Linked DNA regions of Neurospora crassa OR74A. The main gene of each other region encodes a partner of the protein of the gene in region 4 in a complex. Links are inferred from orthologs where the notes say so. Each region holds a gene or a part of one and is shown on either strand. Other genes may lie near its edges.

What was found.
Region 1: NCU01625 (region 4) and NCU05423 share a complex: the UniProt entries of both Schizosaccharomyces pombe proteins name them as parts of the 7-subunit TFIIH core complex. The link is inferred for Neurospora crassa OR74A from reciprocal best matches to the Schizosaccharomyces pombe genes rad15 and tfb1.
Region 2: NCU01625 (region 4) and NCU06438 share a complex: the UniProt entries of both Schizosaccharomyces pombe proteins name them as parts of the 7-subunit TFIIH core complex. The link is inferred for Neurospora crassa OR74A from reciprocal best matches to the Schizosaccharomyces pombe genes rad15 and ptr8.
Region 3: NCU01625 (region 4) and NCU01831 share a complex: the UniProt entries of both Schizosaccharomyces pombe proteins name them as parts of the 7-subunit TFIIH core complex. The link is inferred for Neurospora crassa OR74A from reciprocal best matches to the Schizosaccharomyces pombe genes rad15 and ssl1.
Region 5: NCU01625 (region 4) and NCU05523 share a complex: the UniProt entries of both Schizosaccharomyces pombe proteins name them as parts of the 7-subunit TFIIH core complex. The link is inferred for Neurospora crassa OR74A from reciprocal best matches to the Schizosaccharomyces pombe genes rad15 and tfb2.

What each region holds. Positions count from the first base shown.
Region 1 is NC_026502.1:1,591,170-1,595,261, forward strand, and holds NCU05423 (hypothetical protein), read right to left. Parts: upstream 2,858-4,092; 5' UTR 2,458-2,857; coding exon 466-2,457; 3' UTR 152-465; downstream 1-151. UniProt on the Schizosaccharomyces pombe protein: Component of the general transcription and DNA repair factor IIH (TFIIH) core complex, which is involved in general and transcription-coupled nucleotide excision repair (NER) of damaged DNA and, when complexed to TFIIK, in RNA transcription by RNA polymerase II.
Region 2 is NC_026503.1:1,415,807-1,419,979, forward strand, and holds the start of NCU06438 (DNA repair helicase RAD25), read right to left. Parts: upstream 2,829-4,173; 5' UTR 2,595-2,828; coding exon 6-2,594; 3' UTR 1-5. Other genes in the region: NCU06439 (zinc finger protein), read left to right, coding at 3,399-3,403, 3,531-3,574, 3,702-4,033. UniProt on the Schizosaccharomyces pombe protein: Probable ATP-dependent 3'-5' DNA helicase/translocase. Binds dsDNA rather than ssDNA, unzipping it in a translocase rather than classical helicase activity. Component of the general transcription and DNA repair factor IIH (TFIIH) core complex.
Region 3 is NC_026502.1:2,258,612-2,262,815, forward strand, and holds NCU01831 (RNA polymerase TFIIH complex subunit Ssl1), read left to right. Parts: upstream 1-1,284; 5' UTR 1,285-1,594; coding exon 1,595-2,124; intron 2,125-2,191; coding exon 2,192-3,071; 3' UTR 3,072-3,772; downstream 3,773-4,204. UniProt on the Schizosaccharomyces pombe protein: Component of the general transcription and DNA repair factor IIH (TFIIH) core complex, which is involved in general and transcription-coupled nucleotide excision repair (NER) of damaged DNA and, when complexed to TFIIK, in RNA transcription by RNA polymerase II.
Region 4 is NC_026502.1:2,932,322-2,936,513, forward strand, and holds the start of NCU01625 (DNA repair helicase RAD3), read left to right. Parts: upstream 1-1,282; 5' UTR 1,283-1,802; coding exon 1,803-1,819; intron 1,820-1,899; coding exon 1,900-1,940; intron 1,941-1,999; coding exon 2,000-2,029; intron 2,030-2,092; coding exon 2,093-2,595; intron 2,596-2,671; coding exon 2,672-4,192. UniProt on the Schizosaccharomyces pombe protein: ATP-dependent 5'-3' DNA helicase, component of the general transcription and DNA repair factor IIH (TFIIH) core complex, which is involved in general and transcription-coupled nucleotide excision repair (NER) of damaged DNA and, when complexed to TFIIK, in RNA transcription by RNA polymerase II.
Region 5 is NC_026506.1:1,624,924-1,629,281, forward strand, and holds NCU05523 (transcription factor tfb2), read right to left. Parts: upstream 2,834-4,358; 5' UTR 2,486-2,833; coding exon 2,362-2,485; intron 2,278-2,361; coding exon 896-2,277; 3' UTR 562-895; downstream 1-561. Other genes in the region: NCU05522 (PaaI thioesterase), read left to right, coding at 3,190-3,228, 3,286-3,326, 3,396-3,411, 3,477-3,657, 3,776-3,841, 3,922-4,091. UniProt on the Schizosaccharomyces pombe protein: Component of the general transcription and DNA repair factor IIH (TFIIH) core complex, which is involved in general and transcription-coupled nucleotide excision repair (NER) of damaged DNA and, when complexed to TFIIK, in RNA transcription by RNA polymerase II.

The DNA.
Region 1 (4,092 bases), about 1.3 Mb from region 4:
TAATGATTCAAGTCATATGTCATGGTTCAAGAGATCCCCCTTTTCTTTCCAACTTTATCTACATGATGTAATCTGAGAATACCGGAACCTTCGTTTTGGAAAGTGTTAAGAGTCTGGTTTTAGATATCACACATCAGTCCAGAACCAGTTTGCTTTCTTGAAAATTTCTTAATGCTTTTTTTCATCATTGGTCTTCAGCCATAATTCCTAATGTGACTATAGTCAGTCTGTTTCTCCTTCTCCTAACCCAAATTATCCCAGCCTTACTGTCTTGTGGGCCATTTCTGTCCTCTATATATACTTGAAACTTTTTCTCGTTCATGGCAACGCTCCCAAATGTCATCCTCCTCTATCACTTCTCCTCTCATGAAAGTCATCCTCCCCATCTTCCTCCCGTTTCCACACAGCACAGCACAACATCCATCCCCTAACAACGCACCTCTGCCACTGTCTTTCCTCATATCTTCAGATCCTCCCACTTTTAACCATCTCCCAAACCGCCACAGCCCTCTCCAACCCGCCCACCACGCCCTCAAAAGCCGCCCACACCGCATCCCTGCCCCCTCCAACGGGAACCCACTTCGCCTTGCGGCCTGTCTTTTGATAATACTCTCTAATCTCCCTTTTCCGCTTCTCCATAATCTCCTGTCTCCTCTTCTCCGCTTCGTCAGCCAGCGCCTCGATTCTCTGTTTCGAGCGCACGAGCGAGTCGGCCAGGTAGGCCAATTCTTGCTGCTTTTCTGGGCTGCTGTTGCTGGAGTTATTAAACACCGTCCAGAACTGTTTCAGGAACTCGGCGGTCGTAGCGCAGGTTAGCGTAGCGCGGTGGGCAATGTCCGTCGGCAACGACATGGGTCGTTCTTCGGACGCATTGGTGGTGGTGGTGTGCGAGCCACCGTGGGTGGTGGTGGTGGTGAGGTGCGACCGAGCGGACTTCATGCTCTCGAGGATCTGGTTCTGGGCGAACCGTAGCGCAGCGCGGGAGCCGACGTGTTGGGGCTTGGGTCCGCTTTTAGAGTCCAGAGAGTTATTACCCTCGTCGTCAGAGTCGGGATCGACCCCGATGGACCGGTGGAGATCGATGCCGCCGCGCCCGTCCGAGTCGAGAGTGTCCATGTCCGCTTGCACTTCGAAGAGCACGTCCGAGGGGACTTGGGTGGCGTAGAGGCGCGCGTCGGCGGCTTCTTGGTCGGTGAGCGAGGGCTGGTTGCCTGTGAAGAAGGTGGAGGTGTCCTTGACGGAAAGCCGGATCAGCTGGGCCTCGGCGTCGCCACGGAGGTCTTGCAGGGCGAGTTGTTTGGATAGGGCGTCGGCGATGCCGTCTTTGGAGTAGGAGGCGGCGGAGGGGTCGACGTCTGTGGGGGCGACGTTGGCCATGATTTTCTCGGAGAGCGAATTGAGCGTTTTGATGATGGGGATGTTGGCGCGCGGACGCATCTCGACGTCTTTGAGGTTGCCACCCCTGAAGCCACCTTGGTTTTCTTCGTTGCCTTCGATGTTGATGATGGGGGGCACACTCGTGGCGGTGATCTTGGCTGGGACTGCCATGGTGTTGTCGGCTTCGAGATACTTGTCGAATAAGGGGTCGGTGTTGTCATTGTCGGTGATGCGCTCGCCGCGGAGCTTCTTGGAGAGACGGCTGAGAAAGAAGCGGGACCAGAACTCGGACTCTGTGAGCTTGGGGACGTTCTCGTTGTAGATGCGCTTGACCAGTGGGTGTTGTTGGAAGATGAGCTGGACCTGCTCATGGTTGATGTTCAACTTGAGCTCGCCGTTCTCGGTCCGGGGCTTGATGGTTGATAGGACGTTATATGAGCCCTTCTTCTGGTTCAGCTCGATGGCATAGGCACGTAGCAGGCTGATGCGGGTGGCCCAGAACTGGCTGTTGAAGGAGGCATCTGATAATGAATCTGGCTTGGACAGCTTTGCGTCGTTATATATATGGGCCAAGGCCTTATCCTTCTTCATGAGGGACTGCTGAAGTTCTACATCGGCCTTTAGCATGTCGTCTTCGAACCAGCGAAACGGCAAATGCTTCGAGTTCACGGCACTGGCCATGGCCATGGCGGCAGAGGCGCCGGCGCCGTTGGGGCCAGACTTTGCCGGCTTGGGTAGAGAAGGGTCATCGCCACGAAGCTCAGCAATGATCTGAGAGAGAAGATCCTTGATGGCATCGGCCTCATTCCTGGCCTCGGTGGCATGTGTGAACTGGAAGGGATAGGCAGCCGGATCGGCTCCGGGCGCCTTGGGTTTCTCGACGACTCTCAAGACGACCTTGGGATTCGTCTTGGGGGTCTGTTGGAGGTTTGTGATGTTGGATACGGAAAGTGAGATGACGGGTGGGCCAGTGCCCGGCAAGGGGCTCCATATCAGGGCTGTCTTGTCTGGGGTTAATGTGATGATGCCCTCTCTTTTTTTGTAAGAGGCCTGTCCCCGGGGAATCTCAATCGGGGCCATGTTGGCTAGGTAGTCCTCTCCCTAACCGCCCGTTGAATATCTCAAGTCCACGCTCAATGCCCAGTTCCCAATCTTTTGATGTTATAAAGACGGACCAGCCTCGCAATGTGTTCCTTGACAAGGATGTATTAACGCGATACGTATGTCACAGCGTGCTCGTGTACTACGCCTTACTGATATCGAAGAGAGACGGGAGAGTCGTCAAGGTACACGGCATTAGACGATGATGGACGTGGTGATGTAGTGTAGTAACGCCAAGCAAATCTAATCCAGGTCCCGTCAGTCTTGAATCCGGGGTGAGGCATTGGCTGCTGCGGATGTCGTTGCGGGATGGTGAGTGGGTGGTGAGTTTACATAGTGTAGTAGGTAGTTTATGCGTGGCAGGCAGGCAGGCGGCAGCTGAGGCTGCAGTGGAGCACGACTACTAACAATTCCATGGTCGCCCTGGGGCTGTTCAACTAGTGTAAAGAACTTGAACTTCAGGTTTCAGCTCGGGAAGGTTCCACTTTGAACCGACAGACAGTGTCACGGCAGCTGTCCACCCAGGTCGGATCTCTGGCCACCACAGGACCTGAGCTCTGGGCGACGAACTGCTGCAGGTGCCGTGGGTGGGAAATGCCAAGGATCTGAAGCCAGCGCAGAGCTTGGACAACAGCAACTGCACTGCAGCGAACCAGTCACGGCCAGCCAATGAGAGTTGGGGGATTTAACACTGTGACGTGCAGTCAATGCTGCAACTGGCTCAATAATGAAGAAGAAGTTGAAGGTGGCAGCTGACGATGCAGGATTTTGTAGTGAATTACACAATCGAAACCAACAGCCAAACCTCAAAGTCATTTCGATAAACCACTCGAGACGAGATCGAGACGAGATCTAGACTCGGTTCGCTTGTCTCTTCTTTGACAAAATGGATTTGATAAATGACTTTTGCAAAAGTCACATGATACTACGGCAAGTCACAAGGCGGTCAGTGCCAAGTAGCTAATTGAACCCAAACCCATAACCCAGGATACCGACCAGACCATGTCTAGCGCAGTTCCATCAGTTCGATGCCCCAAGCGAAAGCTTCGAAAAGTTCGCGCTCAAAGATGGGACCGAAAGCGTTACCGTACATTTCCACCTCGGACATGGAAGTTTTCCCCACTTTCCACGGTAAGATTGGATACTTGGTCCAAAAAGACGGGAACCGTGATTTCCGGGGAAAAGGGACTCGGGTCAGGTCTCGGAGCCTCCAACTCCAGTCTCGACGGGAGGTGCGGGAGCCAATGCGTAATGAAATAATTACAGTAGCACTCTCCAGACCGTAACTTCCAGCTCTTCCACACTTTCCCAGTTTGCTGCGTGCCCGATGACTTGTCATGGAGACACAGCTCCCGTCCCCCTCCTTGAAACCACAGAAACTCCACGACTTCCGGTTATGCTTGCTGTTACCGTGGTCACCGCTCGAACCGTGAACTCCGTCGTGACTTTTGGACAAACAACAAGAGGGAGGACGGATTCGAGTAGATGATGGATATGATATCTCTTCGTGTATTCCATTGTGTACGCTACTACGTATGGGTATGTAGCAGACTGAGCAGTAAATAACTGAAGGTAGGCGAGTTTGCGGCTATGGAGGTACCGAGAGAATCTCAC
Region 2 (4,173 bases), on a different chromosome or scaffold from region 4:
TTCTTCTAGCCCTGTCTCGCCAAAGCCCGACTCCTCTCCTTCTCCCTCTGCAGCTTCTTGAAGAAGGCGCTCTGCTCCGCCTTGGCGGCACCCTTCTTCTTCAACCCCTTATTCGCCGCCTTGTTCTGCTCAATGTACGCCATATCCTGACCACCACTGAGCTCGCCCAGGGTTCCAGCCATTCTCCGAACCGCCGCCGCTCTGCCCTTTGCGCCACCCCTTCCGCGCCCGACCTTACCAAACAGATCGTCCGTCTCGACATCATCCTCGGCGCCCTTTTCATTGTCGACCAGTGTGCGCTGCAGCAGCTCGCGCCGCTCCTGCGCCGTGGCGAAGGCCAGGTCGGGCGTGTTCTCGATGTTGGCCAGCTGCGTGATCACCTTGAAGGCGTAGCCCTGGTCGACCAGGAAGGCCTGGCGCTTGGACGAGTAGTACATTTCCTGCGTGTCTTTGGACACGAGTGAGTAAAAGAAGGCGTTGAAGCCGACGTCGTTACGGCGCTTGGCTCGGAGGATACGGCCTAGGCGCTGGGCTTCCTGACGACGGGAACCGAAGTGGGAGGAGATTTGGATGAGACAGGTGGCTTCGGGCAAGTCGAGCGAGGTGTCGCCGATCTTGGAGAGGAAGAGCGTGTTGACTTGCGGGTTGTGCTGGAAGTTTTCGAGCACTTGCATGCGCTCGGCTTGGCCGGTGCCGCCGTAGATAAAGACTTTATTTAGCTTGAGGGCGTATTGTTTTAGTGAGTACAGCTCGTCGGAGAAGACGATGATCTTGTCGCCGCGGGCTTCGTGGTAGTTGATCAGGTACTGGCAGGCCTGGAACTTTCGGGGGTTCATGGCGTAAAGAGTGCGCTTCATGCGCGAGTTGGCACGAAGATACTCGTCGTAGAACTCGGTGGGCATAGGACACCACACCTCTGCGCACTGGACCTTGGCGATGTGACCCTTTTCGGATAGCTCCATCCAGTTGGCCTCGTAGAGCTTGGGGCCGATTAGGAAGTTCAAGTGGGAAATCTTGTCGTCTTCTCTGAGCAGGGTGGCTGTGAGACCCAGCTTGGAGTGCGACTTGATGGAAGAGATAACTCTTCGGAAGACGTCGGCAGGGACGACGTGGACCTCGTCGAGAAGCATCAGACCCCATTCACGACTCTTGAGGAAATCCATCATCTTCTTGGAGTCGTGAGATCGTTCTCGGTTGTTGGTAACCATAGAATATGTAGTAACAATGATACCCGTATTACCAGAGAACTTGTTCTTGCTCTCAGCGGTAAAGACGGCAATATCGTCGGGGTTGATGTTGGACCACTTGAGGAACTCCTGGCGCCATTGCACGACGGACATACTGCTGGTACACAGGACGATGACACCCTTTTTGATGGTGCAGGCAGCCGTAATGCCGACCAAGGTCTTGCCTGCACCGCACGGCAGAACAATGATGCCACTCTTTGCTCTGCCGTTACCAAACATTTTGCTGAGACTCTGCTCCTGGTACGGACGAATCTGTGTGTTTGGTCGCAGATCGATTTCCAGATCCGCGTTATTAGAGTCGTTCCTGAAGTCGTACTCCTCCAAGATGGGAAATCCTAGGTCAAGACAGCGTCGTTGGACAATCTCGACGGCGGTTTCGGGGATCTCAAAGGCATGGACGGCGTCCTTGTCGTCCTCGTCGTCTTCCTCATTGATGGCTGCGTAGAGGTCTGCCTCGTTAGTCGCCGCAGCGTCCGCGGCCCCATCCTCGGCAGTCTTCTTGTTGCCAGACTTGTTGAGGCCTGCCTGGTTCACACCGGCGGCATCTTTGGTGCCGGGGATGACCAGGCCGCCCATGGTGGGCGCATAGGAGGTGGTAATATCACCGGAGCCCTGGACACGCCACTTTCCGATTACTTCATCGCGGAGCAGCTTCTGCAACAACTCGGCATCCGAGCTTTCTACAAAGTACTTGTTGTTATTCAGCACGAGTTTCACCTTGCCGTAGCTCTTTGTGCACGACTCAATGAAGAGACGAATGGACTCGGGCAGGGGGGTCTTGAGGAAGCGATCCAGGGTGTCTATAATATCCTTTGACTGCAGGCCAATGGACACACCAGCGTAGAGACTGTGGGCGGTCAACTGATACTCATGCAGGAAATGCGGCCGTGACTTGGGCTCGGCAATGGTGACGAGGAAGTCGGTGACGCGGTCGGCGTCCGGGCTGAACTTCTCGAGTATGATGGTGCCCTTCTCCGGGTCGATCCACAGCGGCTTCTGGTCGTGGTCGGGTTTCAAGTTCAGATACGAAAAGTCGCGTTTCCCGCTGCCAAAGAACTGGGTGGCGCCGTCACGATGACTGCCGCCACCGTCCTGTCGGGCCTGGAAACGGCTACTATCGACGGCCCATGTATTGACGAACTCGTCGGCCTCGCGGGCAATCACCTCCTCTTTCCTCTTGATGACCTCGTCGACGTCGTCGTCGTTCAAATCATCATCGCCGTCCGACTGGAACGAGCTCTCGAGGCTGCGGGGAGTCGCGGGGCCGGGAGTGGACAGGGCCGAAGTGCGGCCAGCTTTGGCAACGCCGGCCTGGGGGGCGCCGACCGCTTTTCGCTTGGGCGGCATTATGTGTATGACGAAAACGTGATCTCCTTTCTTTCTTTCTTGTCTCTGCTCTGTTTTATCTATTTCTAGCAGTTTCAGTTCTAGAAGGATGGATTAGCAGGCGGACAAATGAAGAATGCCAGTGCAGTGGCAAAAAAAGAATACAAGGTTGAAAGGATGGGAGTTTGAAATGGATGATGAAATTCCACTTTGTCTTTTGTACGCTACGGTAGATACCTGGCTCTACAAGCAGAGGTATTGTAGGGTACAAGTACAGCAGGCCTAGTTTGCTTACACTGCGGTTCCTGTCCTGTTATGGAAATTGTTAAGGCGATACCGTAGGAGCCGGGCGCCCGAGCCGCTGTGACAGCAAGGCCGACAGGGGCCAGACACGCTAGTTTAGTCATCAGCCACGCTTATTTTGTGGGGAAGCGAGTCTTCTGGAGCCAACCTGGAAGTGGAGGGAACCGTTCGGCGTTCAGTGCACTCCCTCAGTTGCAGGCTCCACCCGTGTCACCCGCTGTCCAGTCCGAAAAGCACCCCGCGTTGAGTGGTGGTCGGGTCGGTTCTGGTCTGGGTGGGTGGACGAAGGGGGGGGCGACGGGACGACCGCGTTAAGTGCCGTGATAAAGTTCGGTGAACCCTTTTTTTTCCGGACGTGAACATTGGCGATCAAGGAGAACGAAGCGACGTCGAAAGAATCTTGGTGTCGTACATACCACATAGAACCCAACAACGACGAAATATCATAAAATCAGGGATCAGAACGAGCCATCTACACTATCTACCTCTCTGCGCATAAGTAACCTCTTCCTGTCTGTCATCATGTGGTAAGTAAACTCCCACCTGCCATGCCATGACCTGACACTTCGGCATGCCTTCTACTTATGTTCCCCTTGTTTGCTCGTGTAGACCACTTCCACGAACCACCTGCTAACTAGATCCTCTCCCATCCAGTAAACACGTTCTCAATGCTCAAGTCTCCATCCGGTCACCATGCTGTACGTAACCTCAGTCTCAAATAAACGAACCACCACGATTCCCTATTACCAGTATACAACGACAACAACACCGAACATCGCAGCCATATAAACATGACCTCTAACTCTACACCCACCTCCTACGCAGGCCGCAAATGGTTCGACTGTCCCGAATGCCACGCCGAGTCCGAGTCGCACCCCCTTAAGAAGACACTCGAGATGACTTTTGCCTGCAAAAAGTGCAAAAAGTGTTTCCGCAAGGATGCGACCGAGTTCGAGGATTCCGACGAATACTGCCCGCACTGCGACAACCACTACATCATCGAGGCCGTGACGCCCAAGGCTGCTCTCAGGGTCGAGGGCGAGGATGCGAGAATGGATGCGCGCATGCTCAAGGACGAAAGAGTCAAGCAAACGAAGAAGACCATGAACCAGATCTCGATATTTGACCCGGATGTGGACGCTGATAAGCTTGGTTGAGTGGCTGGGCTGTTGGAGTTGGAGTTGAAGTTGGAGTTGGAGTACGGAATCACAACGCAGCGAGGAAGGGAAAAAAGAGATACCATTTAGAGAAGCATATAATCAAACTGGGTGGCTTGTTGTCACTCACATCATATTGC
Region 3 (4,204 bases), about 670 kb from region 4:
GAGGAGGACCATGAACAATCTGGCCCTTTTTGTGTGAAAATTTCGACCGCGTACGACTGATCGCGAGTTGGTTAATCAATTGCGCCCATACAAGCGGCTGAGGTATTACGTCAGAGGCGGCACAGGTCAGTCTTGGCCGTTGACCAGTGAGCGGGGATCTTTGGAAACCTCGGCCGAAGGTGCCGTGACGTAACGTCAATCCAGTTGGCGTTTCTTATTGGCCACCTGTCAGCGCGTAGGTCGCAGGCGAGCCACGATCAACCGCAGAGCTGGAACGGGCCGGCACGGGGCCGGCACATCTACATGTGCCTTACTACTAACGGCGAGGCTACTCCACGGCGCAACCTTTCATCGCATTTCACGATCCTACAATACCTCGCTACGAAGCTTCTGTCGGGCACATCACGCCAAGTACGCGGTCCGCTTTAAGGTCGCATCTTACTGCATTCCTTCATCGAGTATATGTACATAACTCGATGCAGTAATTAGCTTCGATCTTCTCTCCCCCATCTCCAGTAAGTATTGCTAGTTGTGCACTGCACTGTGACAGTTGTTTCGCTCAAGGTAAGGGTCGGTGTTTACCTGTTTCACCACATCACGAAACATGCGACTCACGCCATACGGTGTCTGTCTCGCTGGTGACCTTGCAGATTCATTGGACCACGATACCGAAACGGATATATGGACACATCAAAGCCGTGGACCCCATTCCGTCGTCTGGACTCTAGAATTCGGGAGAGCCCGTGCCCGGAATCCGGACCGGAACGGACAGTTGGACTCCCTGGCTGGCCGTTTTCCACGTGGGATTCCCATTTTGCCAAGCGATTTGACCGCACAAGTATCACGCACCCCCGCAGTACCGACGACGACCGATCCATGATTTATTTGAGCCTTGTATGCCTACATACTCTTTGAGGTTCTTGATTACTTCAACAGTCTGGTGAACCCCGGGCACAAGCATGTGAAAGTCGCAGGCCCCCGAAGGCATAGCCCTACATCGCCTCAAGACAATCCAGTGGCCCTTCTGGGTAGCGGGCACATCATGTAGTATATACTTGACACATATGCACGTCCTTTGAATGTCGTGACTCGTAACCAAGCTTCAAATCAGAGTTGACCTTCGCTTTGAAGTTGTGGTGGAACCAGATTTCGCTGTCGAATTTCGAGGCCCGTAGTTACACAAACGAGATGTCGGTACCCAGCACCGATCTGATTCGATTTCACAGGCCCCACTCTTCCTGCGAGGCTGCCTACATACACGAGTTCGCGCATTTGGGGAACAGCCTTGCAGTCCAGTAAACATTTCCGGCTTCCACCACACACCACGAACCTTTGTTCAGCTTGTGCATTCAACGTCGTCGCGTATCCCCTTTTCTCCATTCTTTCTTATTTCTCTCCGGCACTTTTTCAGCGCGACAACCAGTACCCGGCCTCCCGATCAACACCTACCAGGGAGTTGTCTACACGAACACGACTAAAGGCCCTGATTATCGAACTTCTGAACCTTCCACTCGTTTCGAAGTGACCCTCGAGCTTCTCCCACTAAGAGCGCCAGCTACTATCCGTCAAACTATCCCGACAAACATACGCAAACATGGCTGACTCGGACGGCGAGTACGCCTCCGACGATGAGCTCAAGAGGCATGGAAAGAGGACAGCGGACGGGCGCAGCAAGCAAACCAAGGCGTCATGGGAAGATGTTAAGCGCTCCTGGGATACCGTCTTGGAAACAGCGGACAGCGGCCTCTCCATCGCAGAGATTCGGGAGGCCGAGAAGCGGCGTCGCCTTCTGCGCGACACGACACCTCTTCAGCGTGGAATTATCCGCCATCTGATGCTTGTGCTCGACATGAGTTTCGCCATGGCCGACAAAGATCTGCTACCAAACCGTTACCGAGTCGTCCTAAATAACGCCATTGGCTTCGTACGCGAGTATTTCGAGCAGAATCCCATCAGTCAGCTAGGCATCGTGGGAATGCGCGATGGAATTGCTGTGCGAATAAGCGACCTGAGCGGGAATCCGGCCGAGCACATCGAAAAGTTGATGCAATGGAGCGAGCAACAAGACCCCCAAGGAAATCCGAGTTTACAGAATGCACTTCAAATGTGCCGAGGTGCTCTATAGTCAGCGCTACGGCCCACCCCCTCCGTGACAGAGGTCATTCGCTAACCGCTTCATGTTTTTGTACAGTCAAACGCCGTCACATGCCACGCGCGAAATACTGATAATCTACGGTGCCCTCGTCTCAATCGATCCGGGCGACATACACGACACCATCAACGACCTCGTAGCCGACCGCATCCGCGTCTCGGTCGTTGGCCTCGCCGGCCAAGTCGCCATCTGCAGCGAGCTTTGCAAGCGGACGAACAACCACGACGGCAACTACAGCGTCGCCGTAGACGAGGTGCACCTCAAGGAGCTCTTCTTCGCCGCCACCACTCCGCCCGTCACCCGCACGCCCGAGCAAAACACCGCCAGCCTGCTCATGATGGGCTTTCCCAGCCGCACGCTTGCTCCGAAAGACCATGTCAGCTTCTGCGCCTGCCACGCGAAGCCCACGCGCGAGGGGTACACCTGTCCGCGCTGCGGAATCAAAGTGTGCCGGCTGCCGATCGACTGTCCGATCTGCAAGCTGACGCTCATCCAGAGCACGCACTTGGCGAGGTCGTACCATCATCTGTTCCCGCTCAAGGTGTTTGTGGAGGTTCCGTGGTCTCAGGCGTATAAGTCGACGGCGTGCTACTCGTGCCTGACACCCTTTCCTGCTAGGCCAAGGGATTCAGTGGCGGCAGCGCCAGCTGTGTTAGGAGGGAGAGCCGGAGCTAAAGGTAGCGGGAAACAACAGGACGGCGAGCAGAAAAATCCAAAACCGGAACTCAAGGGTGTCAGCGAAAGCGGGCGGTATGCTTGCCAGGTATGCGGAAATCATTTTTGCATAGACTGTGATGTCTTTGCCCACGAGACTATTCATAATTGTCCTGGGTGTCAGAGCGATACGAGGGATGTGGAGAAGGATACGGCAGTAGCAGTACCAGACGGTGGCCCTACACCCATGGTGATGGATTCCTAGAGTGAGGAGCATGCTACAAATGGCGGCAGATGGAGGACAACAATTAGCCGCTCCGCTTGAACGTTTCAGATTCTTCGGGCGGAACCGAACCGGCCACTCTGGTTAAGAGCATCGATAGTATGGTATCGTGAACGAAAACGATACGATGACCCGAAACAGAGCAGTTTTAAGGGTATGGCGAACATATCTGTTACATGGAGGGGTTGGCGCTGCAAAGAACACGAAAATATACACGGCATCACGATCAAAATATACCCAGACGACTTGGCTAAGAAGAAAGTCCAAAGTGGAACTCCCAAAACCAAAGCTGTAAGGGACACCAGCCGAATAACTAGAGACGACGGGGTCATGGCTTCTTCATGCTCTTTACCAACAAGGCAGTGCAAAGGGATACTAGCGAAAGGGCTAAAGAAATGACGGGATCCAACAGATGTGAAATGGTCCTATGAATTCAAGAAGACGATTCGTTGGGTGTGGCGCATCTGTGAAGGAGATGGGAGACGGATATGGTTATGGAAGAATGATCAAGAAGACTCTTTGCGTATCGGTAGAGTCCCTTGTGACGAGGGGAAAGAGAGGACGGGCACGCAACGAATCATAGATGTGGAGTGATACGGCAATGTGAGATTTTGAGACCATACCAGCATCATCAAGTAGCGTACTAAAATAGCTAATCTTCATATGTCTACACGGTTCCGGTGATGTTCCGATAAAGGAAAAATCCTGCCCTTGAACAAATCGGACAAATTATATGCAAGTAGGTAGGAGTGCGTGGTGAAAAACGAGTGAAGAGCAGAATGCGAAAGGAACTTGTTGGGCGATCATGACTGGCGATTTATGAACAGGTCAACAAAATGTTTCAACCCCTCGTTTTCATTCGAAGCTAATACACCACCGTGAATTCGCTCATTACCTACAATTTCACATAGCTGATTTCAGAATGACAAAGTACTATGTAAGCACGTGTCAAAATCATCACATGATTTGCATAACTATGCCAAAGCTACTTTCATGCTCTACTTCTCGGTTTGAAGCCATATCGAAACCACAAACAAGTACTGTGCGCCTGCAAGATGCCATGCTAAGACCCTTCCGGCCAGCTCCCCTGCCGGCCGACCCCCAAGCTTTTGTGC
Region 4 (4,192 bases):
TAAGGTACCTACTCACCTCTGACAGCCGATTTGATGCAAGTAGGAGGCGTTCGGGGAGTCGATTCAAATCCTCCGTCCTCCCTCCCTCGCCCCGATCTAGACTCAACGGCAGCAAGGGCGCGCCTACCTATCTACCTACATACACCCATCACCACGCACCCACCCTGAGTACCTCTGTGTAGATATGGAAGTAAGTCCGGGGCGAAGGATCGCAACCGCGCGGCGGGGTTTGGGAATCCTTCGGAAGTCTACCTACTTGGAATTGGGAACTTTGCTGCTGCTCCAAACCGGCGGTTAAGTAGTAATGAGCAGACAAGCGCCGCCGCCGCGATTTGATGAGCCCCGTTTTTCTTCCATCGTGACAGTCGCTGCTCGTATTCACTCATGCGCCAACAACCGCCGGTGGTGGCATACGAGAGTCGGGGTATCAAAGTCACCACCCAAAGTGGAATATGTACCTGGCAGTCAGTTGACGTTCCATGAAGAGTGGTGGGTGACTCCCGAGTCGATGTGGGAACTTTGAGCTCTTGGATTCCAACAACTACCTACGGGACAGCCACATAAAGGTTATGCTGAGATACTGCATGTGTGACTGAGAGATATGAAAGTGTTGAGGATCGCCGTGGTACTCCACGGACGGTATTGAAGTGAGAGGTGGAATTAATCTATTTGCTCCCGATCGTTGATTTCAAGCGTCTGAGATGATGAGGTTTCTCCCTTCTTGCAGCTTGTTTTGGCGCTTTCGTTTTCCCGCTACTTTGAAGGACCTGTCTTTCCATCGGTCGTTTTTTTAATCTTCCTTTTGAATAAGACCCATGGACTGATAGATAATCGGCAAGATGGCGATCCTTCGTACTGAGCGCGGAAGTACCAACACTGATAGTTATCGTATAATCCGAATCCGAGGAAATTCCAAGTCCGCCGATTGCTGTAGACTTGAAGCATTGCAATCACTAAGAGAAGACGGACTACCTCTATCAGCGCGGCCTGTGCACCAGTTTTTGAGCATGGAAGCGAGTGTGCGCAAAGGAAATATGAATATAGAGGCTGCTGAGGAAGTGGAAGTGACGATGAAGTTGTGGTGTTCCAGTCGTTTTTGAATGTGAAGGCCACAGTGCAATTGAACTATGAGAAAGACTGTGCGTGTGGGGGGTCCACACTCACTGCAGTCAATCCGGCATCAGCGGGCCGGCAACAAGCGTGCCGGACCGGCAGCAGCTCACCGTAAAAGTATCACCGTACCTGACCTTGTGCCAGATCCGGATTCCCAGAAACAGCACATCATTGATCCATCAAATCCACCGAGATCCTGTCCTGAAGCTGATCGCCACAGGCCACCGCCAGGCAACCTTGGCACGTGCTTTCTCGACTTCACAAATCTATACAACAACAAGCGCAATACAAACAGCCATAATAATAGAGATACGCGGTCTAGGGGAAGACCTGAGGCTGCATACTTGAGACAAGGGAGGAGGCCCCTTTGAATACCGAAGAACAGACGAACGACTGCCCCCGCCAAGACCCAAGATAGAAGCTCCAGCGTGCAGACACATGCCAAAAGTTGACCTCGATTTCACGACTTCTCGCTTCTCACCAAACCAAACATCGAAATAGAACATCAAACGACCATATTAAGCATCAGCCCTGTCGCACTTCTCCATCCGGACACCCGCGTCGATTAGATATTCTGCGACATAGTAAAACCAGCAAGAACATTCATCAACGTTGCTGCTGCCCGCGCAGCCATTCGTAATTCCTTCCCTTTGTCCGTGTATCCAAGGCCGTGATACTACACGCCCACCATGGAGTTCAACATCGAGTAAGAGCCAAATCCGAGATGACGCGTTCGCGTTCTTGGTCTGTAAAAAACCAGATAACTAACTTGCCGGCAAACAACAGCGATCTCCCAGTTCTGTTTCCTTACCCAAGGATATATCCAGGTATGTGAGCTCATCCACATTGGTACACCATCACAAGTGCTGACAGACCGACTACACAGAACAATATGCGTACATGGTGGACTTGAAAAGTGAGCATTCAACAAATAGCTCACACTCATCACACGTCCACTGACCACCACCACTCCCCACAGAAACCCTCGATGCAGGCGGGAACTGTGTCCTGGAAATGCCTTCGGGCACCGGCAAGACCGTCACCCTTTTGTCACTCATCGTCGCCTACCAGCAATACTACCCAGAGCACCGGAAGCTGATCTACTGCTCGCGAACAATGTCCGAAATCGAAAAGGCCCTCGTTGAGCTGAGAGCACTCATGAAGTTCCGAGCCGAGCGGCTGGGGCACGAAGAAGAGTTTCGCGGTCTCGGTCTGACAAGTCGAAAGAACCTGTGTCTGCATCCCTCGGTCAAGCGGGAGAAGAGCGGTGCCATTGTCGACGCGAGGTGTCGCAGCTTGACGGCCGGCTTCGTCAAGGAGAAGAGGGAAAAGGGGGAGAATGTGGAGACGTGCGTCTACCACGACAATCTCGACCTTCTAGAACCGCATAACTTGATCCCTAACGGAATTTGGACACTGGATGGCCTGATGAGGTATGGCGAGGAAAAGAAACAGTGTCCTTATTTCACTGCCAGGAGGATGGTAGGTCTCTTCTCAACACCCCAGGATGCGGATGTAATAGCTCGAGATGCCATACATACTAACAGCTCATATGTAGATGCAACACTGCAACGTCATCATCTACTCCTATCACTACCTCCTAGACCCCAAGATCGCCGAGCGCGTGTCCAAGGATCTATCCAAGGACTGCATCGTCGTCTTTGACGAGGCTCACAACATCGACAACGTCTGCATCGAGTCTCTAAGTACCGACATCACCCAGGACTCACTGATGAGGGCAACCAGGGGTGCTCAGAACTTGGAGGCCAAAATCAGCGAGATGAAGGACTCTGATCAAGAGAAACTTCAGTCCGAGTACGAAAAGCTAGTCGAAGGACTCAAGGGTCTAGATGAAGGGCGACAGGAGGATGCTTTTATGGCTAACCCAACACTACCCGACGATCTGCTCAAGGAGGCTGTCCCCGGCAATATCAGGCGAGCCGAGCACTTCGTTGCCTTCCTCCGGAGATTCATCGAATACCTCAAGACCCGCATGAAGGTCCGCCAGGTCATCTCCGAAACACCACCATCCTTCCTCGCCCACCTGAAAGAATACACCTTCATCGAGAAGAAACCGCTCCGGTTCTGCGCCGAGCGTCTAACCTCGCTAGTACGGACCCTCGAGCTCACCAACATTGAAGACTACCGGCCACTCCAAGAAGTAGCCACCTTTGCAACCCTCGTCGCCACCTACGAAAAGGGCTTCCTACTGATCCTCGAGCCCTACGAATCCGACACGGCCAAGACCCCGAACCCAGTCCTGCACTTCACCTGCCTCGACGCCGCCATCGCCATCAAGCCCGTCTTCGACCGATTCAGCTCCGTCATCATCACCTCCGGTACCATTTCCCCCCTTGAAATGTACCCCAAAATGCTCAACTTCGAAACCGTCGTGCAGGAATCCTACGCCATGACCCTCGCCCGCCGCTCTTTCCTCCCCATGATCGTCACCCGCGGCTCCGACCAGGCCTCCATCTCCACCTCCTTCCAAGTCCGCAACGAGCCCAGCGTCGTGCGCAACTACGGCAATCTCCTGACCGAGTTCGCCCGCATCACGCCCGACGGCATGGTCGTCTTCTTTCCCTCGTACTTGTACATGGAATCCATCATCTCCATGTGGCAAGGCATGGGCATCCTCGACGAAGTGTGGAAGCACAAACTCATTCTGGTCGAAACCCCAGACGCGCAAGAAACCTCGCTAGCGCTCGAGACGTACCGCACCGCCTGTTGCAACGGCCGCGGCGCCATCTTGCTCTGCGTCGCGCGCGGTAAAGTGTCCGAAGGCATCGACTTTGACCACCAGTACGGCCGCACCGTGCTCTGTATTGGCGTGCCCTTCCAGTACACCGAGTCGCGCATCCTCAAGGCCCGCTTGGAGTTCCTGCGCGAAACGTACCGCATCCGCGAAAACGACTTTCTCTCTTTCGACGCCATGCGCCACGCCGCGCAGTGTCTGGGGCGCGTCTTGCGCGGAAAAGACGACTACGGAGTCATGGTGCTGGCGGACCGGCGCTTCATGAAGAAGCGCGCGCAGCTGCCCAAGTGGATTAACCAAGCTTTCTTGGAAGCGAACACGAAT
Region 5 (4,358 bases), on a different chromosome or scaffold from region 4:
GTGTATTATTGGCTTGAAAGATAGAGCAAGCATTACGGCCTCCTTTTGGAGTGATGGAAGAGACTACAGAACAAGAGCATAGTCATTTCGCTCTAGATATTCATGGTAACAGGCATGGTCGGACTTCTCTATAGAGTATTTTCTCGGTTTCCGACCTCATCTTACCGCTTCACATACCCAGGGTAAGAGGCAAAGGTCCGGCGTTGTAGAGGGCAGTTCTGGCATTCATTGATGCCTTGAACCTCATAATGGTAACGCAAATAAATGGTAGTTAGTCTTGTATTGACATTTCTTTCAATGATCAAACTTTGAGTTTCGGTACAGGTGCAATTGCCGCCGAGTATGATCAGTCCCTCGCCAATACTCCTGTCATTGAGCCCTGTCAGCTAGGATGGCGTATCAAGAGGTGTATATCACAAAGATGTGTAGCACAGTGAGCAGGCTGATTTTGTTCGAGCACCCTTTTTCCAATCTCTTCGGTCTCGTATAGTACGTCTCCCGATGACTTGAAGCGTTGTTCTCAATCGAATGTCAAAAAGAGGTTTGCATGTGTATGATCATATGAAATCGAGTTCTTTGTTTTGTAAGAGGTCATCCCTATTTCGAGGCGACCATTACCTCGTATTTTGAACATGGCCCTTTCTTACCCCCAACTCCTGTCTACAGTATAAGCTAGTAATTGCGTGATGCCAAACCACCCACCCAAGCCAGAACTCCTTTTTTCAATGCAAATGTTGATCCTGCCCTGCCCACAGATGTAAAAGTTTTACGATGCAAGACCCCATCGCCTACCCATTGCATCCACCCACAAGAGGTACCTAGGTACTTGGGTTCATTCCAACCATACTGAACCACCCCCGAATCCAAACCACCCTCTCTTACAAACCTGCCCCTCTTACTCCCCCTTCTTCCGACTCTTCAAATAATCCCTCAACTGCTCATGCTTGCTGGCAAAAAAGAGCTGCCTCTTATCATTCTTCCACACTAGTACGCCAATCTCCTCCGCATACCTGCTCAGCGCCGCGTACTCCTCCGTGCTCTCAAAGTCCTTGAACAAGAAGCCCGCCGTGGTCTGCATCCTTTCGTTCTCCAGCTGCCAAAGCCTGATCTGGTCCACCACCGTCGGGGGAAGCACCGGTTTACCCGTGACCGTGGCTTCGCGCACCATTTGTTGATGAGCATGCGCGTGTAGGTAGGAAATGATTTGGTCGGCGGTGATGCCGAAGCCGATTGCTTGGCGGATGGAGTCGCGGGTTAGGCGGCCCGAGACCATGTTGGGGAAACGCATGTTGAGCTGGCAGAAGAGAGCCAGGACGGCGATTTGTAGCGGGGAGGTGGTGTAGGCGTAGATACGATAGTTGGTCTCGATGATGATGCCCTTGGCTGCTGTCTGTGTTTTGTCGGGGGTGGCGGCGGGGCCGCCGCTGGTGCTGGTCGTGGTGCCGGGCTCGCCCGAGGGGTTGGCGGTTGCGGCCGTGAAAGCCGAGGAGACGGTGCGCAGGGCCGAGGCGGTACTGGTCAGTGTGGTGGCCAGGCGGGTAGGGAAAAACTGGCGCGTGTCGCGCGGGAAGTAGATGAGCCCGAAGTCGACGAGCGAGGGAAGCATATTCCGCCGCGTCTCGGTCAGGGCCGAAGTATCGTAGGCAGTTCCAAGCTCAAGCGAGCTGAGCATGAAGAGGAAGGAGAGCATGTCAATGCTGTCCATGCCCGAGTCGGCCGTGTGGTCGGCTGCTTCGAGCCAGAGGAGGAGGAGCGTCCATACTTGGGCGTTGGACTCCTGGAGAAGGAAGGTGAAACCGGCTTGCGTAATTCCGATTCCTGTACGGGTGTCTGGACGTCGTTCGACGAGGCGTCCGGCCAAGAGTAGTTCCTTCACACTGGCCTTGGGTCCGCTGACCCCTTCTGAGCTGCCGTGGACCCCAAGACTGTTGACAACGTAGTGGAGGATGTCGTCCCACTTCTTACGAGCGTACCTGTCCAGGTAGGCGATGTCGATGGAGGGATCGACGGGAAGAGAACTAGGGACGCCAAAGCTGCCATCTTCGCCGCCCCCTTCGAAGGCTAGTTGTAGGCCTTTCTTGAAGCTCGCCGTGATTTGGATTTCTTGGGTTCGGTCCTTGCTTGGTGGTGAGACCTGTAGGATGTGGAGGGATCGGAGAGCGGCAATGGTGCGATCGCGATGTATCTTTCCGCCGCCCTCTGGAGGGAACCATATGTCAAGGGAGGTTAACGGGAATGGGTCGGGCATGTACAGTAGACCTCGGACAATAACCTTGGCTATCGAGGGACAAAGGAGTTAGCTACATGCTATAGATTCGGCGTCCAAGACTTCGGTATCTGACTCGAGGAACAATTGCATACCATGATAAGACAGCATACGGCGGAAGATGGCCAAAGCTGTCGCTGGTGACTGGTACAGTCTCCTAAAAGCTGTACCTGGCAGCTTCTCCAAGTACTCGAGGAGCTGTTGTCCGCCGAGTGACATGGTGGATAGACGGGCGGGCACAGCGGGCCGCTAATAGAGATTCGTTATCGCTATGTGAATGGCAATGTGAAAGGTCAAGTCGAATATTCGGTAAACGTAGTGCTTCGAATGTCGTCAAGTCCAGATGGCTCGTCGAGAGGATCACGATGTAATGCTACTGGTTGACTTCTGCTGGCAGATATGGGGACCAAAACCAACTTCTAGGTGGAAAGTGTTATATCGACGGAAGTGTGATTTATGATGAATCGAGTATATGTTTATTCGGTAGGTACCCAGGGAATCGAGCGATAATGGTGTAGCCGGTGGCACTTGTGGGTGAAAGGCATAAGGTGCAAAAGAAGACCTTGAAGGCTGTTGATGATCATTGCGTTGTACGCGCGCGAGGATAGGTTGCCTGCCCCGTGGTGCCCTTGCAGGTGGTCACCAAGCATAAGTGGGGACTTCGGACCCTCGTGGCAGGCACTACCAGTCCCTGTTACGACGTCACCGTTCCACTGTCCGGCATTTGTCTACCGTCTCCCGGGTCGGCCAGTCTGCTTCTAAAGCCACTGTAACAGCGCCTGTCCCGGGTGGTGATTTCCGGCATTCACAGCAGTGTTCCGTCCCCAAGTCCACCTAGAGGTAGTCCAGACACCGCATCTGAAGCACACCTCGTGTATCCCTCTTACATCGTCTCCTATTTCGAGGTCAACAGCAACAAAAAAATGGCACCCAAGCTTCCACCAGCGAGATTCGTGAGATCGGTTAGTTCAGGAACTCATTTCACAGCTGCATTGACTCGGTTGCTTACAGCATGTTAGGTCCTGAAGTCGTTCATGGCCGAGTCCGGCCTTGAGCCGAGGTAAGTGATGACACATCACCATGGTCTGTCAAGAAGAGATCAAGACATGAGACTGACCAAATTTTACAGACTCCTCGGACCTCATGTAGGCAAAAGACACCACAAAATTCCATGGATACAACGAACATGTAACTGATATGACCAAACTAGCTCCGGGTAACCGGTGCCACCGAAGGCAAGGTCGACTTTGAACTCGACATCACCAAAGACCACACCAACCGTCTAAAGATCATCCACGGCGGGACCATCGCCAGCATGGTTGACCTTGGTGGTTCTCTGGCTGTAGCCTCGAAAGGACTCTACGCCACCGGTGTGTCGACGGATCTGAACGGTATGTTTCCTTCCTTCCATGAGATTGATTCATGCCTACTCGGACAAAAGAACTCCAGCCCAGTTATGTGCTGCTTTCCGCAAACACACAATACTAAAATGTATATGAAAAAACTCAGTTACCTACCTTAGTAGCGGTGGGAAAGTCGGCGAGAAGATTTCCGGGACCGCTGTGTGTGACAAGAGTAAGTCTTTCTTCCTGCCCCTTTGCATCAGCAACATGAATTATTGACATGACTAACCTTCATCATCAACAACCAAACAGTGGGCAAGACTCTTGCCTACACCACCGTCACTTTCCGCAACCAAAAGGGCGAGCTATGTGCCCGTGGTAGTCATACAAAGTATGTCGCCAACGCCTGGAAGTCCCAAAATGGGACTGAGCTCTTCACGCCTCCGGAGGGAGCTGTGATTGCCGAGGATGATGTGGAGTAAAAGTCATGAGAGTCAACCTGGACATAGGTGCGTATGCATGGTGTACATAGAGTTGTTAGACCTCGGGCGAGTGGGCGATTAGCGATGTTACGTCTCTGCATTTTCATTATCCTTTCAACTCATAGAAAGATACCCTTAGAGTACCTGCTTTCGGTTTTCGCATTATTGGATTTGCTTGACGTTGAAGTTTGATTTGCACTTCAGCCGCTGTTCTTCATAAGGCACTCTGTTCGGAGCTTCCGTTCTTGATTGTCTGTGAAATACGGC